Oreochromis niloticus: one gene and its partner. The protein of the gene in region 1 interacts with the protein of each later gene in a pairwise test. Links are inferred from orthologs where the notes say so. Each region holds a gene or a part of one and is shown in the gene's direction. Other genes may lie near its edges. The genes, in order: hspb11 and ift27.

Region 1 (15,865 bases):
ATAAGAAAATAAGAAAATAAATCAGATACGCATCCCTTGGGGTTACTGCATGAACCGGTTGCCTTTGTTGCAGGTCATCAGCACAAATGTCTGATACTTTGCACGTCTTGTCCGAATGCTTCAAATTCAAAAATCCTTTTCTTGTTCTGCTTTCTTTGATAAATTGAGCAGTTTACTTGTGATATTTCAGCTATTCAAGGCAAAAGAGAAGTCTGGGCTTTGTCAGTTATCCATTTTCTGCAGACCCATATTTCAAATACTCCTTTATGCAAAAAAAGATACTCAAAAGTTAAAAAGCCTTTGGCTGGAAATCAGTTCAGAAAAATAAAGTCTTAGTCAGGAATCAGTGTGAGTCAGTGCTGGCTGTAATGATCTTATTATTTGCAGGATAACTACTTTCATATATAATATGTAATTACCTTGGTATCATATATTGCTGTTTTTTTAAAATAATTATTTGTTTTGTTGACTTCTGTCTGAATCATAAACAGCTGTCTGTCTGCCAATATTTAAATATTAATTTTGTGATTGTTTGCAGGCACTGTATGTAAATATGTAAATAGCGCCGCTTTTATGATTCTCCGTCACAGCCACTTTACTCAGGTTGGTACGCAGCCCTCACCGAGACTTTAAATCTGTGATTTAGCACACAGAGCTGAGTCTTACCAGTTCTGCTTAATAGTGCAAATTTATATTTAACTGTGTCAACAAACATTTTGTTGCGTTTGGTGTTAATGGTGTTTGTGCCACTATTTTCAAGATGTAATGTTGACTGCAGTGAATGTTTGGTGCTCTATCTTTGTGGAAAAAGGGAAAGGGGTTAGCACAGCTCCTGTTTCTCTAAAAATCCCCCAAAGTCTCTTATCTAAAAGAAGGTTGTTTGTTGATGTTGGGAGCTTGGGTAAATAGCTAAAGGCACTGTAACTCATGCAGCAATGCGATCTCACTTGGATGTCTGTCTGTTTCCTAGAAGGATCTATGTGAAATGCAGATTATGTTTACATGCCTCATGTAGTCTGGTCAGTAGGAGGTAGACAGTCACAGAGGGGAGCGGTGCTTTCCCAAGCAAGGTCTGACCCCCTTTCAACTCCTCACTGGGCTCCACTGAGCCCTTTGGGCAGCTCAGTTTGCTGCAGAGTCAGGCAAGCAATGGGCTTATGTGCAAGCCTCGCCGTGGCAGATTTTAGACCCATCTGTGGGGAAAAGATATGTCTGGTTTATCACCCCTCATTTATAGTGCATATTCTATTTGTAAATCCCACAAACTACATTTTCTCCTGTTACCGTCCCTCTTTCTTCTCCTGTTCTCTCTCTTTTGCCCCCGCACATGCACACAAAACAGCAAAAAAAAAAGAAAAAAGAAAAAAAAGACTGCTGCAGTGAGAATCAAATACAGCAGTAAACACTGGCAGTCACAGTGGGCAATAAAATGCCGACCACAGCCAGTACACAAACAAAGAGACTGCTCTTCTGTCAAGCAATGACTATGGAGCAGCTGGAGGAAGATCACATGGTATAAAAAAAAATGAAAAAAAGCCAGGAGACAATCATGCTGTTACAACCTATCACAAAACCATATTCTGTTGAACCCTCTCTCGCTCTCTCACACACAAATCGCTCACCACTTCAGAAAGAATGAGCATAAAGTAGAGGAAATATAGGAAATATGTTCATGAAATGAATGCAGGACAGCTTCAGCAGCATGATTGTGGCTGTTGCCACTGTAATTGCATGTGGTTTTCTATATTCTAAATATAAAAATGAACAAAGTATCTGCAACCACCGTCCCATTTCCTCCTCTGTTCCTACACTATTAAACCTCAAACATTCCAGCATAGTTTTCAGGACATCGGAAAGAAAGTCGCGAGCAGACCCTGAGTTGTCATTATGCAAAATATTAGAGCCAAGAAAGTAATATGCCTAATTTGTGGCAAAATGGAGTTTTGAAATCTAGGTGTTCCTACTGGAAATATCTCCCGAAGAATTTGTCAAGTGCAAAAGGCATTAAAAAGAAAAATTGGCACACTAAAGAAATTGCATTAGAACTGCTTCAGTCCTCGAAACATAAGCCTTTTATTAAATATTCCCTCATTTGATGTTGATTGTGTTGGAGAGCGCCCACAGGTCCAAAATATTCCAAAGGTGTTAATTGGGTGATTGTTAAGGCTGTAGCATGTTACTATATATTGATCCACACCGTGACGCCTCCATAGGTTTTTGCCTCAATTTGTCTGTATCTGTCAGTGGTCTTAATGTCTCAGTACTTTTCTCTAATCAATCTTTATCTGCACGACTAGTTCACTGTAATACTGTCTGTAGCTGAAACTGTGCCTTCTATCACCCTGAAATATGCGTCTATGTGATGCGAGCTGAAAAAGATTATGATGGATGTGATTCTATATCGGGCTGTGGACGAGGGAACACCTCAGGGAAAATGGGGAGCTCGTATCCAAGGAACATATTGGAAAGACTCTCTGAATTAACAGTGTGGAAATCACCAGAGGGACTAAACACAAGACTGAAGTCTGGGTTGGAATCGAATTCTAAGGATGGCAAGTGTACAGTATACAGACTAATGGTTGCATAAAATGTTCCTTTGTATGGCCATTGTTTTGTACAGGACTAAAAAACAGTCGATTATGTATTCATGCCACATTTTCCTATAAATACATTACACCAGTCTGACTTCTACTGGACAATATTTGCCATTACAGCCATATGCTATTGAGTTCATCACATACACACACGTAATATCCAGTAATCCTTTGTTTTTTTTTTGCCATTCTGTAAAATCAATTAGAAAATATGTATTTTTTAAAGTGATAAAGTGGCTCTTATTAAGCAATTACACTGTACAAAAAAGTAATTTATACAGTCTTTTCTAGCATAATTTAAACTATATCCAAAAACAGGTACCCGCTGTGTTCTCATAGTCTTTATTTCATCTATTTACAAAGAATACAAAACTTTCTTCCATCACTTCATATGAACAAACAGACATAACAAGCAGGGCTTCATTTGTGATGCTGTTTTGTCCAGTTGGAAGCTTCTTTGCGCCCTTGTTTCAGCCCCTATGAAAACACAATAACCCCCAAAAGATTACTCATTTTATGAATCCATGACTTTTACATATACCTAAAAATCTGAAAGGAAAAATAAAGCAACTTAACCAAAAAGGCAAAGGAAAAGCATCAACATTACCATAAACAAGTGACTACTATTTACAGCATAACAAAAGGTGAGGTATGTACAAGCTCCAAATCCATGTTATAACCTCCCAAAAAGCCAGCAGGGCTCTGTGCACGTACCAGATAGTATCCTGTGTGATATCCACTCATATACCAGGAGATGAGCATGCTGCCCAAGGCTTCATCATCCACCATGTCAGGGCTCATCGGTGGAGGTGGAGGAACCATCTAAGGCATCAACAGCAGAGCGAATGTTCAGGATGCAGGTGTTTAACATTGCCATTTGTTAGACCCTAAACATGTTATATCCTAAACTGTATCTACATTTAACCTGCTGTATAGTAAACATTTAAATACCCTTTAGCTTTGCTAAGGGTAAAAATTGATCCCAACTCACCGGTGGACCAAAAGGCATCATGGGAGGCCATGGAGGAGGTACAGGCCCGTGACTACCAGATCGCTTGCTGCTCCCCTGATGCAAGACAAAAGACACAAAGGTGGAAATCAACAGCTTGTAATATCATTACCACATAAAGTACCCAAGATAACGAGAGAGGCTTGAAACTATTTTCATTAGGGAAGCTTATCTAAACTGAAGTAAGCGCAATCTGATGTCTTTCAATTCTTTTACTCAAAATAACTTTTTTTTCAACATGGACATAAATATCATGGAAATATTAGGCTTTAATTGATATCTTTGATCTTTGCTTTGTGAGGCAAAATGATTGCACATTGTTAAGCCTGGGGAGCTGAGACTAGCCAGATAGAGGTGAGGTGGTGGTAGCGGTGATTATTAATAAATCCACTCCAACTGTTAATGCAAGGGGGCTAGAAAAAAAAGAAAGGGCAAGGTGCATGGCCTTTTAGCTTTGGTTAGTGTCTGCCTAGGTGGTAGCTTTTCTGTGCCAAGGAAGGTTAGTTCGACAACACTAACTGGATTGATCAATACCAACGCAACATCGGACAAGACAGGAATGCTTACTGTAAGCATGTCTAAATGAATGCAAATTCAAAGATAATCACAAAGTGCAGGCTTGTCATGAAACAGAAGCTGCTTAAACAACATTGTCACAGTCCAAAGTTAGTGAGGTTTTACAGAGTTATGGACCAAGTGGCTGGTGTCCAACATCAAAACTTTCGAGCTCAAATAAAGTTTGTTGCTTCCCACGTGAAAATATAAAGCACTAAATCTTGACACAGTCATTTTTAAAAAAAGCTGAGACACTTAAACCTCATCATGATTGTTACGCATGGTGGTGGCAGCATCATGCTCTGAGGCTGATCTACTGCCAGTTAAGTTAATATAAGTTAATGAACGAGAAGGACTTTCCAGAATTCTTCATCATAAGCTGAAAACATCAGATAGATGTTTGAAACCTGGAAACAGTTGTGTCGTTTTGCAGGACGATGATCAAACACTCATTAAAGTTGGATAAAACACAAAGCTCAGTGTAAAAATAAGGCATTTGAAATAAAATTGAAATAACAACCATATAAAAAAGTGAAATGTGCTTAGTAAGAGCTGTGCCAGAAGACCATAAATTCAAGAGTTTAACTTTTAACGTTTAACATTTAAGCAAATTTGTTGATGATCTGTATTTATAACTCTGATGCTTTTTGATTTCAAGTCCAAGATTAGTTAAAACTTTTTTCTTTTTAATATCCATCATTATTGCAAGCATTAGTCCCCACAGTTCCAGGAAAGCACTAAAAGGCACAAGTTCATGTCCATAATAAGTGTATGTATGCTTTTAAACTGAACAGTCAGCACGTAGAGGCTCAAACAAGGCTTAAGATAATGTACAATATTTTTTAAAACACATTATTTCTTTTCTGCTCTTTACAGTTGGGTCCACAAAAAGAAGTTGGGCCTATTACAATCCAGTCCTGCAATAAATGTTCATATTCTATCTTTATTGTTCAGATTACAAACACTTTGCTCACATTTCATCTTTCTGACTACAACAAACATTCAACCTCCTATCGGGAATTTAATTAACACCTGAAACTGATTTAATCACAATTTAAAAACAAAAATAAGAGGAGTAGTATGCATGAAAGTAATTTTGTTGTTAGACTAATAATGAATCAGCTCCCTAAAGAGCCTTTCTTCTTACCTGTCTGAAAGCACGCATGGGAGGTGGTACTGGAGGAAATCCAGGAAAACCAGGAGCCCACATAGGAGGTGATTCTTTGTGGGTCTTGGACTTGTGGCCCTTATTAGGTGACTGTTTGTGCTGGTTTGGAGTAGCTGACCTGTCACTCTCCTCTGTTGAAGATTCTACTTCATGCACCTATGGATAGCAAAGACATACTGCTTTGATCTTTCTCCCCATTTTCATATCATTGGGAACAAATACAGAGAAATCCATAAACCTATCTGAATTTGTTTGGGAAGCAGTAAGAAATGATCCAGACAAAAGCAGAAAGAGCTAACCCATCCATCCATACTTGGTCCTAAGTTTTAATAGACTGAGAAAGCAATCTGTTAATCGGCAGTGATTTCCATGACTCACCATTTGATAAATATTGGGTGGAGTAATTAATAATAATTTCATATTTTTTGGTCTTTGACGCCAACTGCCGAAATTTCGACTGTTATATTCATTAAGTTGTGGCCTATTAAAAAACCCAAATGACAATGGATTGCTTGCCAATTATTTAAGCCTGATTTGGTCACAATGTTAGTTTTGTTATTTTAAAATTCATGATGTGCATATGTGAATAATGAAGGTAAAAACTATGTGCAAATTGTGTCAGGGAACAATACTACCATTTTCTAATAACTGAATTGTTATTTGTATTGTGCTGCTGTTATGTGAATGCATTTATTTGCACTAGTTTACCTTGGTATTTGATTCCTCATCACCCTCCGAAAACTCTGACAGCAGGTCTTCAAGATTCTGCTCCTCCTCGTTGCCATAGCCTGTATAAACAACTATACAAGTGCCTCTCTTCTTGTCTATGGAGGCAATCGTGGCTGCATAGAGCTGGCCATCCTCGGACCAGTAAGCACTGCATGAGTCCCCAACCTGCCACTGTGACACAACATAAACTGTAATTAAAGTGAAAGCGTCAACATGTGTAAACAACGCTGTTTTTGAATGTCTCAGAATTACCAACAGGGTACAGTTGTGGTCAGAAAAAATACTCATCATGGGCATGAATGTCATGGTAACATGGTGCAGAAGAGGTGCACAAGTTTAAATTAAATTTCTATGGGATCAAAAGTATACATAAGGCATATACACATATACTCCGAATAACGCGTTAAATGTCCCTGAGCAAGTCGCGCCTCCACCAGATGGCTTTTGGTAACCATCAACAAGCTTCTGGTGTATTTCTGGTTAAATATTTGATCATTCTTCTCGCCAGAACTAATAGAGTTCATTTAAATTTGTTGGCTTCCAGCACAAACCCAGGTTTTAAGCAAAGTCCACAAATTTTAATGGGGGTGAGGTCGGGCTTTGGGAAGGTAATTCCAAAAGCTTAATGTTAGCCTGCTTTATCCATTCTAAATCCAGTTTTGATGTGTGTTTGGGAACAATGTCCTGTTGGAACAGTTTTCCAATGACTGATTTGAGGTGAAATTATGTTTCAAAGCCTAATATTTACTGCTCCAAACATACTTCTTGTCATTGTGGACAAATAGCTACACCTTTGTCTTGTCTGATCGTAAAACTTTTCTACAGAAGACATTTGGCTTGTCCATGTGGGCTGCTGCAAATTTCAGGCAGGCTTGAAAATCTTTTGGTGCAGGTGCTTCTTTCTTGGTTGGCACCCTTCCACTTCACAGTGATGCAAAACTGGCTTCACTGTGTACAGTGACACTGATGCTGCAGCAGTTTCCAGTTCATGGCAGACTTGAGCCTCAGCGGTTCCTGGGTTGTTCCTGAACATCCTAACCAATTTCCTTTAATCTGAGGATGTAACAGATTGGGTCTTCTTTGAGACCTTGGATAAGAGGTCACGTGTGCAAGTAACTGTTACTTGCTTACAATTGTTTAAACTGATTATCTTAAAATCTGAAGTTGTTTAGGGACAGCTCCAAGACCATCCCAACCCGTATAAATGTACGATTCTCCTTCTTAGACCTTCATAGAATAGCCTGGCGTTTCCTATTGTAACAAGCACTGGTCAATCCAATAACTGCTGCCATGCAAATCCTATTTATGATGGCAGAGAAACTATTAGATTTAGTCAATCATGATCACTAATGACAAGTTAACAGGCCTTGCCAAGTTCTAAGTCATTGTTGAACCTTCAGCACCACTTACTAAAATATTTAAGTGAATGTATGTATATATTTGAGCCCGTATTTATACTTTTCACCCTGTGTGGATTAGAGAAAATCCACCTCCCAAAAATTTGTTGTCCACCAAATTCTTGATTTTAAAACCCATTTAGGATGTATGCTGTGCAATCACTCCACAAAGTAAAAAGAACAGTTAAAAGAAATTATTAAAATCCTCAAATTATGATGACATTCATGCCTGTGATAAGTGTAGTTAAACTTCTGACCATAACTGTAGAAACTGTAAATGAAAGACACATTTCGACCACTGATTTGAAACACAGAATCTAAACTGACTTATGTTAAAATGTACTCTCCAGTTTGATACCTCTGACAACTTTGTAAACATCATGTGTAAATATTTAACACCTTTTCCCCTTCAAATGTATCTGTAGCTTTAGTTCCAGTTCCTCACCTCTTTTTCTGGTGGTGCATTGTTTCTTTTCCTACTCTGGTTCTTCTTGTTGTTCTTGCGTTTCTTTCCTGGTTGGTTTTTCTTTGAGACTTGTGGCTCATCTTCACCCTTAAGGGCAGTCTAATACGCAAATCAGGAAGAGACTTTAAAGTCACAAACAACATTTCACATTCACACATACTGCAATAATCCCAAGTTACCTTGAAAGATGCAACTGCCTTGTCATAAGCCTTTATCAGTGCGGTGTCATCCCAGATGTCTGAATCATCACTCTGGAAGAGAACAACAAATTTGGAGTCTTTACAAAACGAACATGTATTTTTGATGGGTATACATAAATAATGGCTAAACATTAAGTGATTTAAAAATAATAAATAATACCTGCAAACCAGATGACATTTGCAGCCAATATTTATTTGTTGTGTCAAAATAATTCACTAAATAGTAAAAGATGGTGTGCTGAAGAGCAGAAAGACATTAAAACACTTAATTTATGATGAATAATTAATCAATTTCTTTCGTGGAAAAAGGATAAACAACACACAAAAAGACGAGCACATTAAATGTTGCTGAATTATTATTATTATTTTTAAATCAGTCTTAAATCCACAATTATAATGAAGCATCTTACAAGCAGTGCATGCAAAAACAGAGTCAGGATGCAAAGGATCTTAGGGTTATTGTACAGTACACCTTTGTCTCCTGTAAACTGTTGCAACTCAACCTAAAACTACTTTGTAAAGCATTTTTTGTAACGTTTATCCACAACGGTATATTCCAATAAAGCCACGTTTTGTTTATTGAAGAACATCTGGTATATTGTTTATTTCCGGCTTGACTTCTTTTATTCCTTTTCTCATATCTTAAGTTAGCCTAACTCAACGTTGGTTTGTAGCTTTTAGCTATATAGCTCACCGCCTCAAACAACTGCACAGACAGCATAGAAGCGTCATATAAGTCATGTTCCTCCGCTTAATAGTGCATTATAACTCGCCTGTCCAGTTCCGCGCGTAAAAAGCACTTCTTCGCATCCGTTCGCCATGTGAACAATTGCTATATCCAGTGCTAGCCGCTAACTCCTAAACATCTAACTAGCAGCGTGCGTCGGAAATTGTGACGTACAACATTGCGACGTCTATATCTTGCGACGCAGTGGTTGGCTTGGCAACGGCAATTGACGACTTTCCCCCCTTAAGAATCTGTAAACAAGCATTTGTTGTGTCCTGTTATAGAAAAACCAGAAAGCCTCGGAGACTATAACCTTTTCTGTGCGATGATTGAGTCCTCTTTAACTTCTTTAGGTGCGAAAGTTGTCCTCGCTGCATCCAGCGATGAAAATCACCCACCAGAAAGCATTATCGACGGGTGAGTGCTGGTTCTTAAGCCGTGGTTATCTCAGCAGTTTTATCTTTGTCAATTTTCATATATTCATTTAAACAAAACGAAACAAATTATGTGATTTTGCTACAAGTTGCTACTAAAAGGTGCCTGAAGATGCAACTTAAAATTGCTTCTTTGCTAAGCTGTCTGTTGTGTTGACATAACACTGGTTCGTCCCTTTAAAGTCAAAACTTTATTGTCATCTCTGCTAAATACAGTTCAGTACATAGAGAGACGAGACGACGAGGCTCCAGTTCCATAAAGTGCAAAAGAACAACAAGAAATGTAGGAAGAGTAAGAATAGAAAGAATAAATATATATACACTTTGAGACTGAGGTAAGGGGAGTAAATATACACTTTGAGGTAAAAGGGTTAATAACAGTCTAAAATTTACATTTTACAATTGATATTTAAGTGGTTTAAAATGACCAACGTAGCAGCTTTACAGTTTACACTGTGAAATAAAGGGACTAACATGAGGAGGATTCCTGAGAGTAGGACTGTCCATAGAGCAGCATCTGTATTTACAAAGGCAGTGGTATGTGGAGTCCGGTAGAGTCAGTTAGTGGTTTGTGTGGGTGTGTGTGATGGGGTGGAGTGGGGGAGCTGGTAGTGAGTTCAGGAGTTTGATGGTTTGTGGGAAAAAGCTGTCTCGCAGTCTGGAGGATGCTGCGATAGCGTCTGCCGGATGAGAGGAGGGAAAAGAGTCCGTGTGAGGGGTGTGAGGGGTCACGCACGATGCAGGAGGCCTTACTGATGCAGCGTTTGTGAAAGATGTCCTGTAGCAGAGGGAGAGATGTTCCAATGATCTTTGCAGCTGCTTTGACGATCAGATGTAGCTGGCTGAGGTCACCGACTTTGCAGTTTCCAAACCACACGGGGATGCAGGTGTTCAGAACACTCTCTATGGCGCCCCTGTAGAACATGGTGAGGGTGGGACCAGGGAGGTTAGCCCGCTTCAGGCGTCTCAGGAATTGGAGGCGCTGCTGGGCCTTTTTGGTGATGGAGGTGGTGTTGGTGGTCCAGGTGAGGTTGTCTGAGATGTGAACTCCCAGGAACCTGGTGCTGTTAACAGTCTCTACTGTGGAACCGTTGATGCTGAGTGGTGTGTGAGTGGAGCGAGTCTTCCTGAAGTCGATGATCATCTCCTTGGTTTTGTCCACATTCAGTGACAGGTTGTTTTCACTGCACCAGAACGCCAGCTGCTGAACCTCATCTTTGTGCACTGACTCGTCGTTGCTGCTGATGAGTCCAACCACGGGTGTGTAGTCGGTGAACTTGATGATGTGGTTAGAGCTGTGTAGGGCAGTCCAGTCGTGTGTCAGGAGGGTGAACAACAGAGGGCTGAGAACACAGCCCTGAGGAGCTCCTGTGCTCAGCCTGATGGTGCTGGAGATGTTGTCGCCGATTCAGACGGACTGAGGCCTCTCTGACAGGAAATCTAGTATCCAGTTGCAGAGAGAGGTGCTCAGCAGCATGAACAGCATTCTGACATAGTTGTCTTTCTTGCCCAGGTGGGAGAGGGAGAGGTGAAGTGCAGTGGAAATAGCATCCTTGGTCGACCTGTTTGGCCAGTATGCAAACTGTGGCGGGTCCAGTGAGCAGGGGAGGTTGCTCTACCGGGATGATGATGGTGGACTTGAAGCACGCTGGGATGATCATCAGGCTCAGTGATGAGTTGAAGATGTCTCTGTAGTCATCGGCCAGCTGATCAGCGGAGTATCTCAGCACGCGTTCCACGTTGTGGAAGTGGCTCTGGATCTTTTGTGCATGTGCACGCTTTGCTTGTCGGATGGCGCGAGAGAGATTTAGGTGTCTTGAATTACGTGCTGTATTTTTTGCTTGAATGAGTCACATGATTGTGCAAATGACTGGAAAAGCAGTAGGACTATTGCTTTAGCTAACATTTTTGATATTTCCGGAAAGTCTGGCTACATGGCAGCAAAATAGGAAGAAGATTTTTTGCGCAATATTGTATATCTGCACAACAAAAGTTGATATCAAAATGTGATTTAAACAGATCTCATCAATGGTAAAATGTCATGATTTTCTGTCTTTCTTATCACTCAGAAACACTAAAACGTTTTGGATGTCCACTGGGATGTTTCCTCAAGAGTTCATCATTCACTTCCCTGAACCTACAAACATTGGCACTGTGACAGTGGACAGCTACAATGGTATGGAGGCTGTGTGCACCTTAGGGCAAACATGCATGTCCAGTTCTATAAACGTTGGGTCCATCTGTAAAATTTGATGAACTGAATTTCCAAATACTTTTCCACCTTACCTCAGTCAATTTTAAATGAGCCAACATTTCTGGATCGTGTTCATGTATGGCCTTTACTTTGCGTGATGGAGCTTTAACCTGAGTTGAATGGATGGTAGATTGAATTGTAGTAACAGACCGGAAGTGTTCCTAAAATCATGCAGTGATTTCTATGACATAATCATGCCTGTTTTTCAGTGCTGCCTGAGGGCCTAAAGATCAAGGGTATCCATCTGTTTTCAGCCTGTATTTATTTGTCCCTTGCGCACAGAGATTTCTTCAGATGTCCTGAATCTTTTTAAACAGAGATATTCTTTTTATACCCAGTCATGTTATTGACCTGTTGCCCGTTAACCTGACTGGCTACAAAATGTTCCTCTGTCTCTTTTTAGTATCACTTGCTGTTCCAAGCTTTTGTTGGCTCCGTCCCAACTTTTTTTGAGATGTATTTCTGCCATCAAATTCAAAATGACCTTGTGTTTTTTTCTCAGTTTAAATATCTGATGTGTTTTCTGTGTTCTTTTGTGAAAAAATGAGGGTTTATGAGATTTGCAAATCAATGTATTCATCTTTTATTTACATTTTACACAGCATTCCACAATCCCAGCTTTGTTTAAAATTGGGATTGTATTTTGTGTGGATTGTATGCACCCCGCTGAAGTAAACAGGCATTAAAATGATTTCATATAGAACAGCTTGAAAAAACACTTTTTGTACCCACGTAGTATTGCAGATTAGCTGCTCTTCAAGGGAATTATGAGCGCCTTTCTCAAAGGTTTATGTCATGCTTTTTAAAGTAATATGTGGGATAACAAATTCTTCGTGGTGTTAATGTAGAAATTGACCTTTTCTTTTCAGCCAACTACAGGATATTTGCATTTATAATTTGCTGATATACGCATGAATCCATTTTTGTCATTATTGTTTCCGCTCCTTCGGAGCCCCCAAAGTTTTAATCAGTACTGCACACTCAGGTGATGTGTTTTATCTCTCCACTGCTAATATTCAATACCAAGCAGCGGTATTGGTTGGGGGTTAGGGTTCTTTCTGATGGCTCTTCCATGCAGACATAATCACCCCTTCATGAAACCTTCCAGCAGCTCATTTGCAGTCATGATGTTTCTGCAGTTTATTTGAAAAATTTCTTGGACTTCCTGAGCTTTACATGGCCTCAACAGCCCCCCTTAAGTTCCTGTCATAATATGTCAATAAAACTGTAATTAAGTAGCTCAGAAAAAGGAAAGCTGATTAATCTGTCAAACACTGGACAATAAATGACTGGGTGGTCATTTAAAGGAAGAGAAACGTCTCAAGGATGTGGTGTAACATTGTTCCATATTTAAAATTCTTATTGATAAATATTGTTTTCTAGACATATTTATTTTCTTTAAAGTTTGTATCTATATCTCGTGTTATTTCATGGTTTCTTTCCAATTTTTAATATCTCCTGCTGATTTCTTTTTAATTGTTTTACAGTGAAGCACCTGAAAATAGAAAAAAACACCTCACAAAATGCTTCTCAATTTGAGCCTGTTGCAGAGAAAGGTAATGAGGACATCCAGTCAAAGTATTAGTTTGCACCGTTCACAGTGTTTTTAACGGGGATTAACAAACTCTTTGCCTTGCAGAGTTTGAAAGTACAGAGGGACATCTTCAGTCGAATGCTATAACAGTAGGTTCAAATGGAAATGTAAAGTAAATGTAAAATGAACAAGTTTAATAAGAGTTAATAAAGCCATGACTTGTCTTTGTTTTTCTCTTTCAGCTAAATGGCTGCAGTGCCACCCACCTTCGTTTCATCATCACCGCAGGATATGATCACTTTGTCTCAGTTCACAGAGTCAGTGTAAAAAATTAACGCACATAATTAAAATTAATGTGTGTATAACATTTACGAGGTGTGATCATAAACTTATGCAGCGAAACCCATAAAAATCAAAAACCATACCTTATTTAAATTTGGCCTGACTTGAATTTAATTTTGGTTACACATTTGGTTTAGCCTAGATTGTACTCAGTTGGGAACTTGGATAGCTGGAAACCCAAGAGCTGAGTAGTTATTCCTGTTATACTTCTTTAACAAGTCTGTGTGGTCACGAGAATAAAAAAAAATGGCAGACATTAAAACATCCACACAAACCCTCGTGCTAACCATCTGATGACAAAATTTATGTCACTGGGACCCAAGCAGACCCAAGCAGACCCTAGCGGACTCGTGGATACAGAATGTATAAAGCAGAATTTATTTTTCAGCAGATGTAGCGCGTTTGCAGTCTGGTGATGGCCCATCTACCTGTAGAGAGCTCTGTTGTCAAGTATGTAGTACAGTCTGTAAGCCCCTCTTGCTTGTGTTGTTGTTGGTCAGTCAGCCAGCTGCGAAAAATAGCAAAGTTGTAAAAACAGTGAAAAGTGTCCGCTGCACCGATTGTCTGTAGTTTTTGATCCTTAAAGTTTATTTCATGGTTTCTCCTGTTCCTGTTGAACTCCAACCTATTCTAGCCCACTTCTCAACTAGTCACCACTCAGACAGTACCTCCACATGAAATAGGAGGAAAAGGAGTCAAAACCAGAAACAAATAAAGTTTTTTTTCAACAAAACCATCTTTTCAAACTGCTGCAAGATCTCTCTCTATATGATCTGTGAATTTCTGAGCTTCTGATAGATCATTAAAATGGTGTTAAAAACCTACAAATTGGTTCCCTCAACGCGCCAGGTTATAAAAATTGTCGTATGCTTGCGTTCAGACAGTGCAAGGCAGGTGTAAAGAGGCCCTGAGATGCCTCTGGTTATAGAGCTCCACACTGACTGCTTGAGTGCTGGCTCAGATCCAGAAGTGCACAAAAAGATGACCTTCAGTCATGGATACTGAAATTTGAAGTGAAATCAGGCATACTTTTTATTTTCATGGAAGTTGTGCAACGTTGTGAGCTCATCACATGTATAAAAATAATATGACCATTTCTTTTTTTTCATAAACATATACAGTCAGGTCCATAAATATTTGGACAGAAACAACATTTTTTCTGATTTTGGTTCTGTATATTACCACAATGAATTTTAAATGAAAATACTCTGATGCAGTTGAAGTGCAGACTTTCAGCTTTAATTCATTGCTTAAAAATGTGAGAAACTAAAGTGTTTTTTAAAAACTCAATCTCTTTGTTCCAAGTAGTTGGTCAAATTAAATAACTGAAAATAAAAGATAAAGGTTTCCTCCTTTTTAATACTGTGCCAGTCCTTTACTGCAGCAGCTTTCAGTTGCTGTTTGTTTGTGGGCCATTATCCACATCTCCATGTGGATCATGTGGATACCCTCAAATGAAGGTGGAGAGTCTCCACATTATGTCCGTGTCCATTACAGAACTATAACTAGAATATGTTTCTGTAAACGGGTAAAAAAACAACGCTTGTGTCGGTGTCCAAATATATATGGACCTAACTGCATGACTTTGTGGTATTTCATTTTTAATTAAACAATAATAAAAAACCCACACACACAAGCATTATTTGACATAGCTGGGGAACTATGAATCTTCTTGGGATATGTTCTATAGAGAAAACATTTGAATGTATTTTTAAGCCTGCCTTATGATTAGGACATTTGTGTCAATCCATTTTCACAGTTTTTGCTTATTTAATGTTATGGATTCACTAATGGGCCTTATTTTAAATCCTACATTCGACTGTTCCTGCCTATTTCACAAGCTGATAATTGGCAAAGCCTTAGAATAAAAGAGCCGGATGGTGATGAATGGTAGAATTACTTACAAAGGAAGTTTCTCTCTCTGTGTGAGAGATAGAATTAATTAAGTAATTTTGAGCAGCAGGGGCTTAAATTGGAATCCATACAGCCCGCCCACCACCCACCCCCATCCTCACGAACAGAATTTGACATTGCCACAGACATTTATAACCATGGGCAACCTTGCTGGGGGGTTGGGGGACCAGATGGTTTCCCAGCCAACGAGTGAGTGTCTAAAGACTCCAGGCCTGTTCACACAAAATATTCAAGCCTCCTCTTCTACTTACTGTATATATCCTTTAGACACACACAGTAACGCTTCCTCATAAACACTCATAAACCTATCTACCTCAGCTGCCATTTCAACTTGTCGGTAGCAAAGGCTTCAGCAGTATGCGAGGACCCTTTGGGACTCCCTCCCCAATTACTTTTCTGACTGCACGAGGCTTGGGGATTTGCGGCGCCTGTGTTTGTTATAGCTTGGTCTGCATGCAGGGCCCTGAATAAACCAATAAAAATATGAAATAGTTGCCTGAATAACTGGCCTCCTGATAGTTTAGAGCAACTAATTGCTTAGG
Region 2 (15,328 bases), on another chromosome or scaffold:
CACTGCAACGGGTTTGTGCTGGTGACATAAAATAGTTACTCATCAAGCACAAAATCTCTTGACCTCTGCAATGCTAATCACCATCATGGCTAAATTTAAAACATTATCCCACGCTATTTACGTAAGAGTGTTTTAATTACATAGCAAATATCAGGAAAGAAGAATTTTCCACAGCAGCTCATAGTTTCTGTCCACTTTTAGATAGGATTCACCATGCTGGGAATGTCAGGTCTTTGGCTAAATGCTCTTTGGGAATCACATTGTTGGTGCGAACGTGCTATTTTATGTCAGTGAGACTCTGTTATCTTTAGCATTTTTTGTAGATTCAACTAAAGACATGGAGGAAAAAATATGTATCTTTGTAAGGCTGCTAGTAACAAAGTGTCTATATGTCTATTTTAAATATACCATTTAAAATAGGTTCATTCTTAGGTTGTTTGTTATGTGCCAGTACAACACTGGTTTATCCCTTAAGTTTGGGGCCTTTTTTGTGCTTGAATGATTCCTAGGTCAGTGTTAAGTGACTTGAAATGCACAAAAACGAACCGACTGGACTGTAAATGCATAAAAATGTTCAAAAAACATGTTTAAAAGTCAATACCTTAGGCCAGGCTAAGACAAGTAACATTATTGGAAGTTTTCAAACCAGCTGTGTCCCATAGTTTGACTTTTAAAGGCATGTTTATATTTAAAATAATCATGCCTATAAGTATATTTGTCTCTTACTGTATTTTTGTCTTTTTTGAGAGTTAAATGGTGAACTTTGATCAGTATTTTCATCCACAGGGCAGACAGAAGTTCCACTTTGGGCATGTTGACTTCTGAAAATAAAAATGCTTCTTTAGCACAGTCGAGTACAACACAGAACTAAACAGCATATTTAGGTGTAAAGTGATTTGATGTTTTATGTTACCCCTGCGATAACCCGAATCCTCGAACAGCAGCAGAATTCAAGGAACTACACTCAAGGGATCGATCCAAGTTTTGAAAGTGATTCTCTACACAGATCAAAGTAGAACCACAGGCAAACAATGTCATGTTTACTTTGCGAGTCAGGTTGACCCTGTTCAGCTTAATTAAATCCAAATATTATCATTTCCTCAATTAGAAAATTATCACGTCCACGTTACTCTCCCTGCACCTGTCACTGTGTTCGCTGTTCTTCTTTTCACCATCCAATACTCTCGTAACTAAAATGCAGCGCTGATTCTCTGAGGCGGACACACACGTCATTATCACCTCCACATTCAGCCCTCATGAGTCAGAACAAGTGGGAGATGGATGGAAAAGAGAGGGCAGAGAATCCTCGACCAACATTCATAAACTTTTCTCTTTCTTACTCATTCATTCTGGTCTCCTCTCTCTCATAAGCTCTTCAGTGATGTTGCCCATCAACAAATGTTTAAAGGAGAAATCCATTCATGTAAAGTGTCTACCCTTGCTCTGTGGGTGATGCTAACTTCATCGTTTTTAATGTTTGTGTTTCATGCAAAAGCCACTTTACTGACTGTATTGGAGATCTCCATCCCAGGCGACCTAATCGCACAATAATTTACTTATCCTAGTTTGTTTCAACGTGCCAGGTTGATTTTAGGCAGTTAAACGTAATGACAGACCATTACCAGGACAATAACAGGTAAATTCAGTTTAACGGTTGGTTGTAATGGAACTTAAATCCACAGCTGAGGACTCCTCAAAGTAAAGACAAAAGGAAATAAAAAACAGAGGAAAACCTTCCTGAAAGACGGGATAATGCTGGATCCAGGGTGTTCCTGTTGTCACTACTCAGTTGCTGACTGAAACGAAGAAATTACGCTCCAAAGAGTGGATATCGTTGATGTTTTGAAAGTCTCAGTAACTGAATAAATCAGAGCAATCCCTTTCATGAAACAATAGATCTGTGTCTTTGTTTTTCCCCTCGCCAAAATAAACCAGAAGACTAAGAAGACTTTTCATTAGGACAAATGTTTCGTCACTCATCCAAGTGACTTCTTAAGTCTCAGCTGAATGCAGGTTACCCCAACGGCATAAATGGTACATTTGCATAATGACCTCCTTACCTGGATGAATTAGTACATTGGAGCCTAGCTAACACCACCAAGTCAGTGGTTCAGGTATGTAGATGACACCTGGGTAAAAATGTCAGGATGTACCACAATTGACTGATCACAGTAACTCAGTGGACATCAAGTTCGCCTGGAAGGATATGACAGGCTAGACTTGTTAGACTGTGAGATTTCCATCAGTAATGGGGGATATTTAAAAGTTAATGTGTACCATAAACAAATGTTCACAGATCAGTATTTAAGGTTTGACTCTTATCATCCACTGAAGCACAAACTAGGTGTCATCAGGACGCTACAACACAGAGCGAACAGCATCCGCACAGATAGAGCGGCCAGGGAAGCAGAAGAACATCATATCAAGAAGGCCCTGAGTAAATGTGGTTATCCCAGCTGGGAAGGCACCTAAAGAAAGCTCTGGGTGATCCAGACGAGAAAAAGGACAACGGTTAAAAACCCTTAGTGATGATACCTTATATGTCAGGAGTATCAGAAGAACTGACACACATTTTTTCTAAACAATTGGCCTGTGTGGCTTTCAAACACCAAAACACACTGCGCCAAAAACTGGTCCACCCCACTGATCGGGTCGCCTGACACAGACAGAGTAATATAGTGTACGCTGTTAATCTCCAGGACGATTGCCATGATTTACACATCAGGGAAACAAACAACCTCTGGCGAAGCGGATGGCACATACATAAGAGCTAACTTGTCAGACCAGGACCCCATGGTCTATTTACACCTACAGTCCAGTAGCCAATCAAGACCATCTCTGAATCCAGGACTAAGGGTACATCTTTCACCAACTTACAATGCTGTGTTTGCAGCCATTCCCCAACTCTCTGTGAATGGTACTCATGACCATTGATCAGTGGTAGTTGATCAATGGTCATGATAATTTGCATATTAACGATCATGAAACTGACCTCACAGCTCATTGTTCGTTAGCGGTGCTAGTTTCAGTTATTATGCAAATGTACCGTTTATAAGGTTGGAGAAACCTGTGACTGAAGAATTCTCTTGGATGAGTGGCAAAACCTTTCTCCCACTGAAAACAGTATGTCCAGATAAACAGAATCAACTTTCTGGCATTATCATTTTACCTGGTTTGCTCTTACCTCTACATTACAAACAGACATTAAATTTTACAGAATGGGATCTTAAATACTGTTCATCACTATAATGGACTTGCAGGAAAGTGCTAAGAAGTGCTTGACCTTTAAGCGATGTTCACATTGGAAGGGACAAAGTTTCATTATTGCTGAGCATGGACTGCTACACTCTCATTGAATTGCTAACAAAATATTGTTTAACCCTCTGAGGTTGAAGATGTTAATTTCTATCTTTCGGATGCAAGCAAAAAGCACTTTTCTGGAAGAAAAAGTTTTGACACATCCATTAAATTGATTGATGTTCTTTGTCTCATGATTGCCAGAACTTAGGAGAACAAGTTTAACAAGAACATGACATGTTTCGATAGCACAAGGATAGGGTCAGAGGTGACAAAACCACAAACATTCTTTATTTAAGTAGAAGTATAGATACTAGTATCAAAAAATACTCTGGTAGAAGATGAAGTACCAATTCAACTTATTTACTCAAGTAAAATAAAAAAAGTACAGTTCTGAAATGTACTCAAAGCAAGAAAGTAAAAAGTAGCTCTTTGAAGGACATTACTACCAGCTATTTTTTTGTGAAGGACCTGGCACTTTGGGGTTATTGGAATGTGTTGTTACACAATGACAACATTTGCATTGTTAGACATAAGATGCATAAATTATATATTTTTGGTTCTTTAATATCTTTCTATGTAATAATCCACAGTAATGGATATACTAACATGATTGTCACATCGCTGGATGTTTGGCATGCAGTGATGTGAAACAATATCTTCTCTTAAATGAGTCAAACCTAAAGTAACGAGACTGTTTTGACAATGTCAGGAGTAGAAAGTAGATATTTGTGAAAAAAATGCACGTTTGTTACATGTTTGTTACTTCCCACCTTTGGTTAGGGTTATCACCGATAATGCTTACGTGCTTTATATTATCAATCGGTTTGTGTGTGTTTTACAAATATGGAAGCGTATGACCCACTGAAGTCTTGGAAAAAGCTGAACTTTTGTTTGCATGTGTCAGTTTTTAACTTCCATTGAAAGTGTGACTTGAAGCCAGCTGCCTTTTCACCATAAGAGCCACAACAGCTACACTACTGGGAAAGGCGTCTAGTATATGAACTAAGGAAGTCTCCTTTATAGTGCTGAATGTTATAGTCTCCTCCCCCACAGACTGCTGCAGGCTCAATATGAAAGTCGTCACACGATACATCACAAGCTAGGCTATGCCTGTTACTATGGCGACATGCTGCTGCTCTGATGACACCTCTGGACAGGGGATGTGGTGAGGAGTCATAAAGACACTCCATACCTGTAGAGTGTTGTCTTAAAGTGTCAAATCAATAGAAAATTATAAACGTGGAAGAAAATCACTGCTGAAGCAATCTGTCACCTAAAATGTAGCTTAAAAACATTTTTGAGGACCATAAAACTCTTTAAGACATTTAAACATGTGCTGTTTTGGTTTCTATTTTTAAGATTTTGAGTACTGAATGCTTAAAGAAACAACTTCAACCATTCAACCTCAACTATGCAACTTGAACATTAATAAATAGTCACATAACAGTAAAATGTATTGTTTAAATATACGATTTAACCCCCTTTGTAGCGCAGTAATCTAGTTAATTCAAACAGAAATAATAATATAAAGATTAAGAAATGAAGATAGAAAAGAAAAAAGAAAAAAACTGCAACCCTAGATAATAAATAGAGATTTTATAACTACAAATATCTACTGAGTTGTGCCATATACTTTCAACATAAAACCCTAAAACTCTAAAAAAAGGTGAAATAGCAGTGATCAAATTGTGCCATATTAAAATATGCTTTCCCTACGTGACTGAAAAATATTCCTGCATACAGACAAATTTACAGCACAACATGTGTCATATGTTCAGAAAACTGCCAGGTTTACTAATATAAATAATATACATCATATTAGTATACCTCGTATACAGCCAAAGATATGAGCTCACAACTAAGCATTACAACGATTAAATCCATGATTTACTGACACATCACATCACTTGCCATTGGCTTTGTTATTTAAGGCTAACAGATTAATAAACTCTTATTTATTTTTACCACAAACCATGCATTTTCTTTGTATTTCTAATTATAATTTTAAGTATAACTTTTTAAGTTTATGGCACTTTCAGGCCACAGAAGCTTTTTAAAGCATTTATAATTTTTAAAAGAAGAACACCTCAGCTCCCACTTTAGTGTCAGGACTAGGGCTGTTCGATATAACGATATATATCGGATGACGATAGAAAAACGTCTATCGTTTCATTTTACGCTATCGTTTGTTTCGTGGTGTCGCAAAATAAACTGTTTACGGCAATATTTTTTCATCATTTTGATGGTCACTGTAGTGGCTATATTAATTTCCTAAAGTTCTCTCTTTCTCTTATATTTAATATAACCACACTATGGAAGGACAAGCGCTTGTTTTTTATGCGTTTTCGTTAGCAACAACGACGGTAAAACCACGGCGTGTCCGCTTGTTTATTTTCCACATAAACCTTTCACAATAAAGCTCAAGATCCTGTTGAGGCTTTTCAAAATAAAACGAGTCACGTGAAAGATGCAGAGTATTAACGGATGAGAAGCAAAAAAGAGCCGCCAGGTGCTAAAAAATAAACCTTAGACTCAAACGTTAGAACAGGCTTTTCCCCGCAGCACGCCGTGTAATAAATACTCACAAAGAAAACGGCGGCCGTTACAACTTACTTCTAAAAATATATCGTTTCATGCATCAGTTAAAACACTCGACTCCAGGTACGCGACGCCCAGCTGGAAACACTTCACGCAAGTCGAGATGCCCGACATTCACAGAATTTACAGGAACTGTTACATTTTTGTAATTTATATCGTTATATCGACGATAGATGTTTTAATATCGGGATATGAGATTTTGGTCATATCGCACAGCCCTAGTCAGGACTGTACAGTACAATACAAACCTTACCTTATATAGGTTTATATAGTTATAAGCATTATGTACTGATGCAACGCTGGTAACTGACATTATGTGACTGCTTACATTTTAGTTCTGCAAACAACCAGTGGCTCTTAAGATGAAACTAAACTTTGAGAACCTGAAAGATGCTAAAGTTCGGACTTTATGCTACAAAGGAAACACAATGAAATTTTAACTTTTGAACACTATAAAATCTTTGCAAGTGTTTCCTCTTAACCAACTGGTGCCTCAACACAGAGAAAATCAGTACAGTGAAAGTATAGAGATGAAGACACTGAAAAAGAGTTAGAAGAAAGTAAAAGATCAGATCAGGCTTTTACCGCCTGGGCTTATTGGCTACCAGAACACATTTAGAGAAAATAGTCCCTTGTAACATTGGGTAACATTGCTGTACAAAAGTTTTGAGGCACCTCTCATTTCTTCTTATTTTGTTTCCAAGCAGCTACACTTTCTTGTGATATTTTAAAGCGCTCTTGAACAATGGTGCTCCAGACTTTCTGAGTCTTCACAGTTTTTCATTGCACATTGGCTGCTTTTTCACTTATTTTCAGAGGAATGTTTCTTGTGTTTGTTAAGCCAATTATCACTGACCTGTGAATCAGCACAGTGTCTACACATAACAGACAACTGAGGGAAAAAAACATTTTAAATTGTATTTTTTGGCAAAACACAAAATATGTTCCCATTTCTTTAGTTGAGTCTACAAAAGAATGATGCCAAGGATAACACAGCTTAACAGACATAAACTACTATTTTAGCAACACCACCACCAATTCAGCTACTTACATACACGGACAAAATCCCAAAACTCCAATCATGTCTTCCTACAACCTTTTGTTGTGGCTGTAGCCAACTTGTTGCCAGCACACAACTTCTAGCCGGCTAATACATCACATAAGCATTCTTACTGATGTAAATATAAAAGAAATAATAACTAAAGGTAAGATGTTCTCCCAGTAGGTTGTTACCTTCAGGTAATCCCAACAACTGTGGTCAGGAAGTGCCTTTAGTCACACGTAAGATAATCTGAATGAACACCAGATACAAAAACTACAAGTCATTTTTCTTATTAAAAGATGTTCAAGTACACATTTCCACATCTTTTCCTGTTTTTCCATAAAACAAGGTGAAATAAAAGAATTATTATTAAAACAAATAATAATATGCTCTTTGTAACAGACTGCACTGTAGTCAAAAATCAGTTGTATAGTTCAAAATCTAAAACAACACTGTCTATGTGTTAACTTATTGTCCAAATATGTTAAAAATAATGATAATAAGGGCAATTCCTAATTGCTGCACATTACCAAATGTTCATTTAAAAAAATGAACTGTAACAATGTAATGTATAAATCTCCGTCAGATATTCATCACCTGACGCAGTCTATGAATGGACGCAGTATATTTACTTCCTGTCTTTCTTAAAGTACAACAATTTAAGAGAACTTCCTTGATGCGTTCTAATGAAAACACCACATAGTGCATGCATTTTCCTCCTCTTAAAACACTACAAGACACAAAAGATACAGCTGCGGGTTAAACACTAGACACCCAAAACAAAAATCTTATAAAATACCACCTGGTAGTGCGCTAAAAAGAAGAAAATCTGCCCAAAATCCTGACTTTAACTCATTTAAATACATGTAAATTTTCCATGTAATTTTCTTACATAAGTACAATGTAAAACAATGGTCTGGTCAAATGAAATGAACTTGATTGTTATACATTCAGTTTATACCGAGCACATTTTCCTTAATGATTAATTATATTAATAAATAAACCTCTGGTTTCATACATTTCAGCTGTTATTTCCTTAAAACTCAGCGTGGAGCCAACACTTTGGGGAGCACTTCTGTTGCCATCTGTTTACTATGCTTGTCAAAAGTGTTCTCCTACTGTTGCTACTCCTTTTTCATTAGTGCTCCTCCTCCTCCTCAGAGCACGGAGGGTGGTCAGTTATTATGAAATTATTTGCTATGAAATTCAACAAATGTGTGACTGCGTGTTCTCACTGTGCTCATGAGAAAACATCATCTGGTCACTGTATCTGTAGAAGGTGGATTTTGTACACAGCGATCGGGACTCTGTTCAATCAACCCATCAACCCACTGCGTGAGGAGAATATTATTAGTGAGATCAGGTAATAGCACCAAACACACAAGTGAAAACAAAAGTTAAAAGAACAAAACACCACAAAGCATGTTACAGCTGCCTTCAGTATCTATAGGAGCTCCTCTCTGAAACGAAGCCTGTGTGGGCCCTCGGTTGGCTAATTCAAACCAATATTTGACAACATATATGAATGATTTAAAAAAGTGGTGGCCTCTGTAGCTAACTGTGTATCCAAGAACAAAGTTATTTTTCGTTTTTATATCTCCAACTCACCCAAGACACTATGCGGAGAATGGTCTGAGGCTGCTGGAGGAAGGTGACGGGGTCGAAGGCTCCTCCGGCTTTCCCGGCTCCGTATGCCTGCATCCCCTCCATGGTCCTCCTCCTCCTCTCTCTCCCTCCCCGCTGCTGGCTCAAAGGCACAGGGTGTGTGGAGCACCGGGTAACCGAAACGGAAAATCCCCGAAACTGCTCCCTATCACCACTACTGTACTACCGCTGAATCTGCACGGCTGGGATGCGCGTCTCCCCCCACCCCCGGTCTCCTTTGGCGCCCTGTTCTCTCGTGCTGTTGGTTTTAAATGTAACCTCTAATTTGTCTCCGTTGAGTGTTTGGGTAAAGAAAGCTTTGTGATGGTGCTAGATAGTGATGCTTTCTCCCTTTAGTTCAGCGCAGAAGCCGGTGGCGACCCCGTGAACGCGCCTCCGTTGTCACGCCTCGGACGGAGCGCTCCTCGTCAAAACACCCCGAGTAAAAAAAACAGAAAGAAAGAAAAACAGCGACGTACTCAGGACCACTACAGAGAGTCACGCGCTCTTCGTTTACCGATGGTGGGCGGAAAAACAGTGATTAAACCATTAAACCAGAACATGATATTAACTTAATCATATATATCATATCATATATGATAAAGTATGTGAGCTGAAAATAAATATTGGTAAAGGGTTATTTTGTGTGAAGGCACTTATTAAAACACTAGAATGCTTCTACATGAATAAACGACAGTATAACAGTACCACCACCCAACAACGTTGAACTCCCTGATTGATGGTGCCGTGGGTAGGTGCAATAAATTCCGCCCTCTAGCGGTCTTACCGTATATTGCCTGAATATGCAAGGACCTCATGGTTGTTTTCTCCTTCAGGCTTTATACGTGATATTGCTCTGTTCTTAAACAAGCCCCATTAATATTTAGTCAAGTCGGCTTATTGGTGTTATAAATGGTTGTGCACACTGATATTTACGTTTGTACACTGTTTCAGTAAGTTCTGTCTAACAGACTCTGCAAAAGTAGCCTTTTGCTTCCTTTACGTCCTCACAGAAAACCAATGAAAACACGACTACGCGATTACGTCCTCGACGGCTGGACCAATGAAACAGCCCCGTGGCTGGTTGCTAAGAGACGCTTTGTGTCCATGTTCCCGAGGCTGCAAGAAGGATAGTCCATCGCATATGGACCGATAAACAGCGAAACATAGCTCGATTAGCTTCAAGAGAGTTTTACCTGACAGAGACCGGAAGTCATCCCATGTAATGGTCAAGTTAAGGGCGAGATGTCTGCTGGTCGGTAAGGTTTTCAAAGCGGCCCACTTGATAAATAAGGAACGGGGGCTAAAGCTAGCCTTTTACTACAGAAACATCCCCAGCCACAGGCCGTGTCCTTCTTATGTTTCAGATTCAACCTACTTGTTATAGGACTGACGACAAATACAAGCCTGATACTATTTCATATATAAAAGATTATGTTTGTTGGGTCTCTTTTATCATGTAGCTACAGTCATTTAGCTTACACAAACCAATCACTGCCGAGTGATGATGTTTCAACTCACAGAATTGATGGTGAACCAGACACTAAACTCTAAAACTCCCTGATAATGAGGGGGGTTAATTATGAATTCTGTCGAGAACGAACTCCTTAAACACAAATTAAACTATTAATTATTAATTCACAAAAACTACATCGTAAACACAACCACAGGCTGTCATATTTGTATTCTTCCCTGTGTCTGTGTGTCTGTAGGAGATGCTGCAGTGGGCAAAAGTGCTCTTTCTCATATGTTCTACAGCGATGGCACTCTCTTCCAGAAGAATTACAGCATGGTGAGAGCATTAACACAGTCACTAAAAGGCTCATGGTTTGATTCCATGAGTGAAGTGAGTCTTCCTACTTTAGATCCGATGTGTCCAAAATAAGGCCCTCCTTTCATAAGTTTTACAGCTTTTCCTATTAATGCAAAACAAAAGGAATTAACTAGAAGATAAACAACTGAATGATAGAAAAGTGCCTGTTTTTTCCACCATCTATAGAAATATGTAACAAAATCAACATTTACTGTGAATAAAAAAAATGTGTTTTGTAAATACAGGACAGTTTGTTGAGCTAACACAGATCTCTATGTGATCATTTGTAGTTAAACATCTTTACAATGACAGAAAGTTTCGCTTGTTAGGCCCACGTGAGATCAACGTGTGGTGTGTGTGGTCAGCGGTATAAAATGAGTTTGACATCATTGCTTTAGACTAATCTGTAGGGTTAGGACAGTCTTTTGTTCTGCTCATTGGTCATTTCATTCAGTTTATAAAGTTTCTCCTGAACGATAGATGTTGCCACTCAGACAAAATTTCCATATTGTCACTGGTACAGAAGTCAAAACCAGAAGCATAGAAGTTATAAAAGCATATTCCTCTTTTTCCTTGTTTTTTTTTTCTTTTTCTTTTTTTTGCAATATTTCCCTCTGTATAATCTGTGGATCTCCGAGCTCATGTACTGATATATCATTAAAATGGCAGAAAAAAAAACGGCACTCATATCATCAACCTGCATTGGTTGGATTGCCTGCAATGCCCCAGGTTCCAAAATCAAAAGGTACTTGGCCGGCCGGAGCGACACTCAAGTGGTATCGTGGCCAAGTAGATGTGACGTCAGTTTGACATCATTTTTGTCACCTGGCAAAAGCTTTATTGATGTTACCATGGTAGCAATCAGTGACACCAGTCTGTACCAGTGGGAATCAACACTTGGTGCTATACACGTGTACAGACACGTGTATATGAAGGTTGGTTTATCTTTAGATAGTTTAAATTAGGGGTGTCAACATAAGACTCCAGGGGCCAAAATCAGCCTGGAAAAGATTCTAAACTGGCCCACTAGATGGCTTTGAAAAATTTGAAATAAGGCATAAATTTAATAGGTTTTAAGCTTTCCCTGCTGATAAAGACTTCCCCTGTGGCCATTCATACTACACCTATACCATTTACTTACTTACTTAATTAGTATAAGTAAATAAGTAACAGATAAACAGTTAAATTACAGAAAAGTTTCAGTTTTTCACTATTGACTGTTGACTTTTTTTGGTCTTTATCACATAGAAAAACTGAGACATAATGTTGAAATTGCTCTTCTTTTTTATATTAAGATTTCTTGGGGCTTAAATGTGTAGTTATAATTCTTTACACAGACAGAAAGGATTTTTTTTTCTGGTTTGGCTCACTGAAGATCAGAATTAGTTGAATGTGGCAATGTAAAATGGGTTTGGCCTTCCTGGTTCATATAGAGGAGCTGCTATACTTTGTGTGTTTAAGTATACACTTGGTCCGATTGACTAATTTTGTTGTGAAAGGGTGAATGTGAGGCTCAGAGCAGATGTCAGCATGCCTTTCAGTTTTTGCACCAATGTACCAGCTATGGATATGTCCTTCACGTGGACTTCAAGCAGGCTCGAACAAAGTATAATAGAATGACTACTTGTCTGTGACATCTGCAGCCGTCCACATCTGAGAAACTGCCCCCTGGTGTAGCACTGTCACATAACACAGAGAAAGCGAGCTCACTGCCAGACATACTGCAGTGTATGTGGGGTAGGCAGCATAACATGTCTTATAACAGTAAGTAGGGATGTGTTGTACTCCATTCACACAATCAGCAGAGGAATGGAGCTGTAAAACAAGTTGTTCAGGGATTTACAGATCGGGGTGTACTCCGTGACTAGCCACAGGCTTATGTTTTTGTATTCAGGCTGGGTAAGTGAGGTGAATTGGGTTTGAAGGAGCAGCTCATGAAGTGCAATGCTGGCTCACTGCCAGCACAGAATAGATAGTAGTTTGTAGGGAATAGCCTTATCTGTGTGCTGTGAAGCGCTCAGAAATCCAGGCGTTCAGTCCTGCCTGACACTGCAGCAGCTAATCAGCATGTAATTGGCAAAATGTGCTTTTTTAGTAGGCACACTTGTTCTGATAGCTAGTATTAACCTTCCTGAGACCTATTAAGGTCTTAGAAGGCTCTAGATGTATTTATAGATATAGGCATAGCAGTTAAGCAGTGAGTAACCGTGCACAGTTAATCACATGTAGCCGTTTACTCCAGATTTGCTCAATCAGTCAAGAACTGTAGAATTTTCAAATTAATGAAACAGTAAGATGTAATTATACATCAATAGCAAATCAACATGTCTAATATTAGTCAAAGAGGACTATGTTTATATTGCATGTAGTTTCTTTAGTGGAACTTCTTGCAGGCTTTTCAAGGACCTGCAGAGGTCTTTACTACAGGAATCACTGAAGTGCACAACAGCATAATGTAGCAATTAATGCTGACGCAGAGAAGGATTTATCTGCATTATTTATGCTAATCTACACGACAAAAGGAACCATGTCATTAACCTGACTCTGTGATGTATGGCGGCATGGCTGTTCAGCGATTCCCTCAGTTTTCTAAAGGGCTAGTGCACTGCAAAAGTAAGAAAGTGTAGGTGCGGTACATGCATTAACTCGTGAGTATGGATACATATTCATGCAGTTTTCTCTCAACACACAACCACTCACATTTAGTGACTTTACCATAAAGCCGTGCAGTGGTTATGGTACAGAACAGGTTGGTGTATGAATGACTGGACAAAGGCCAAGTGTGCGTGTGCGAGTGTGTGTGCATGCATGTGCCTGTGTGGTTGCTCAGATCTTGCTATGTCAGCAGTTAGGGGGCTTCTGAGGTGACAGGAACGTCGATAATTAATACAGCAGGATTCTGGAAAGCCACCAGAACAGGTACTTAACTAGCAAACACACACACCAGCATACACACAAAAAAACAACAGGGATGAGTTTCTTCATACTGCATAGGCTTGATACAGTAGGCACTTGTTTGTGATGCTGTGTGTGTCTCTTCACGGTGAACTAGCGGGTCATTGACGAAGTAGAAAGAGGCTGCAATTGGGCGGCCTTTTCAATTTGTAATGGCCTAGCATGCACCATCGCTGAATGCCAGGTCAAACTATTAGACATCTTTTTAACTAATGCAGCTAATATGAGTAGATCTAAAGAAATGATACAGGTGGAGTTGTGTGAAAATCTTCAAATACACAACAAACAGGAAAATAAGAAGAGAAGAAGCAATGCCGCTTTGAAAGTAGGTGGAGAGAAATACAGGTCTGCATTTGTGCCAGTAAATCAAGGCTCTGTGTCCAGTTGACACCACTTTATTAGCTGAATACTCTGAAAGAAATGCTCATGGGGAATTGCTGGTCACAGTCTTTGCTGTTGCTATGCAACTGTTAAAACACCTATTTGTAGCCAACCGCTTGCCTGATATTAGTTGAAATATTTTTAACTTCTTAACTCACTTGGTGTAAAGTGCTTCATGTAAAAGGAACTTGACTTTGGAAAAAAAAAAAAATGAAGCTCTTAAACCATGAATTTTTCATCCAGAAGTTACTTTGTGTTTTCTAGAGAGTAGTAATAGTGAAATGTACAGATTTGCCTTCAATTCCAGCATTTGAACAAGATGTATGAATATTTACATCTACCGAGCTTTGCCCAAGAGAAAGAACCCTTACTCAGGACTGTTGAACACGTTAATGTTCCCTCTCGTTCTGACTCCATAGACCTTTCTTTGCTTCTTGTTACTTTGAACAGTGTTTTGAGTTGGGTTGTTTAACAGGACTCTTTGCACTCCTGTAAAAAACTAAGTACGCCCATTGATTCAGTAGCTTGTTGAACCACTTCTAGCAGCACTAACTTGAAGTAATCATTCTCTGTATGACTTTATCAGTTTTCTGCATCATTGTAGTTCAGTAAGGAGAGATCATTAGAAGGAATTGAACATGATTTGTCGATGTAAAGAATTAAATTTGAGGCATTTGGCGGCTAGACTCCGATGATCCATCACAGCAGAACAACATCCCAGCAGTGATAGGGATTAGGACAAGATCCCCTGGAGTGTAGACTCTGGTGGTGGAGATGAAGATGGAGGCTTGAATAGGTCCTGAGTGACTAAGGAGAGGCGGTGATGCGGAGGAGGTGGAGTAGACGAAGGCGTCTGCAAAGGAGAATGACAGATATGCAGTGAGATTTAAAGTATGTGGAGTGAAGGCTGATTGGTCTAAAGAAGGCCGGCAGAAAGATGATTGGACTAGACCAGTGATGTCACAATCAGCTTGACAGTGTGGGAAAGTGGAAGTGATGTAAAGCTTAGATTAGCCGCCAATACCTGGCAAGTAGACAGATGTGTGACTACAGATCTCCCTTACTGAACTTACGAATAAGCTTCAAAAGAATTTTTCCTGTACGAGTTTGCTTTAGTTTATTGAGATTTGTGAGCACTTTTTTTCTTACTTTGGCCACAGTATTTCAATTGGGTTGAGATCTGGGCTTGGACTGGGCCATTGCAACCCCTTGATTCTTTATTTTTTCAGTCATTCTGCTCTAGATTTGCTCCACTTTGGTCTCTACTGTCCAAAGGATATTGTTCCAGACATCTTGTGGTTCGTGTAGATGTAACTTTGCAAACCTAAGCTGTACTGCCATGTTGTTTTTAGAGAAAAGAGGGTTTCTCCTGGCAGTCCTTGCAAACAAGCCGTACTTGTTCAGTTTTTTTTCTGTCATGAACTTTAGCCTTTAGCATGCTAGCTGAGGCTGGTATAATCTGAGATAATGATAATGATAATGGATTGCATTTATATAGCGCTTTTCGTGAACCTCAAAGCACTTTACAGTTCCACTATTCATTCACTCTCACATTCACACACACTGGTGGAGGCAAGCTACAGTTGTAGCCACAG

Evidence for each region.
Region 2: the proteins of hspb11 (region 1) and ift27 interact in binary tests that used the Homo sapiens proteins (3 or more experiments, as listed by UniProt). The two-hybrid records come from large-scale screens. The link is inferred for Oreochromis niloticus from reciprocal best matches to the Homo sapiens genes IFT25 and IFT27.

The regions. Positions count from the first base shown.
Region 1 is NC_031977.2:14,348,263-14,364,127, reverse strand, and holds hspb11 (intraflagellar transport protein 25 homolog), read left to right. Parts: upstream 1-9,046; 5' UTR 9,047-9,170; coding exon 9,171-9,262; intron 9,263-11,348; coding exon 11,349-11,455; intron 11,456-13,020; coding exon 13,021-13,089; intron 13,090-13,172; coding exon 13,173-13,216; intron 13,217-13,309; coding exon 13,310-13,402; 3' UTR 13,403-14,145; downstream 14,146-15,865. Other genes in the region: smn1 (survival motor neuron protein 1), read right to left, coding at 3,015-3,071, 3,309-3,416, 3,586-3,660, 5,306-5,482, 6,035-6,226, 7,898-8,017, 8,098-8,169, 8,892-8,939. UniProt on the Homo sapiens protein: Component of the IFT complex B required for sonic hedgehog/SHH signaling.
Region 2 is NC_031971.2:8,798,661-8,813,988, reverse strand, and holds the start of ift27 (intraflagellar transport protein 27 homolog), read left to right. Parts: upstream 1-9,663; 5' UTR 9,664-9,809; coding exon 9,810-9,843; intron 9,844-10,296; coding exon 10,297-10,376; intron 10,377-15,328. Other genes in the region: syngr1b (synaptogyrin-1), read right to left, coding at 8,549-8,650. UniProt on the Homo sapiens protein: Small GTPase-like component of the intraflagellar transport (IFT) complex B that promotes the exit of the BBSome complex from cilia via its interaction with ARL6. Not involved in entry of the BBSome complex into cilium. Prevents aggregation of GTP-free ARL6.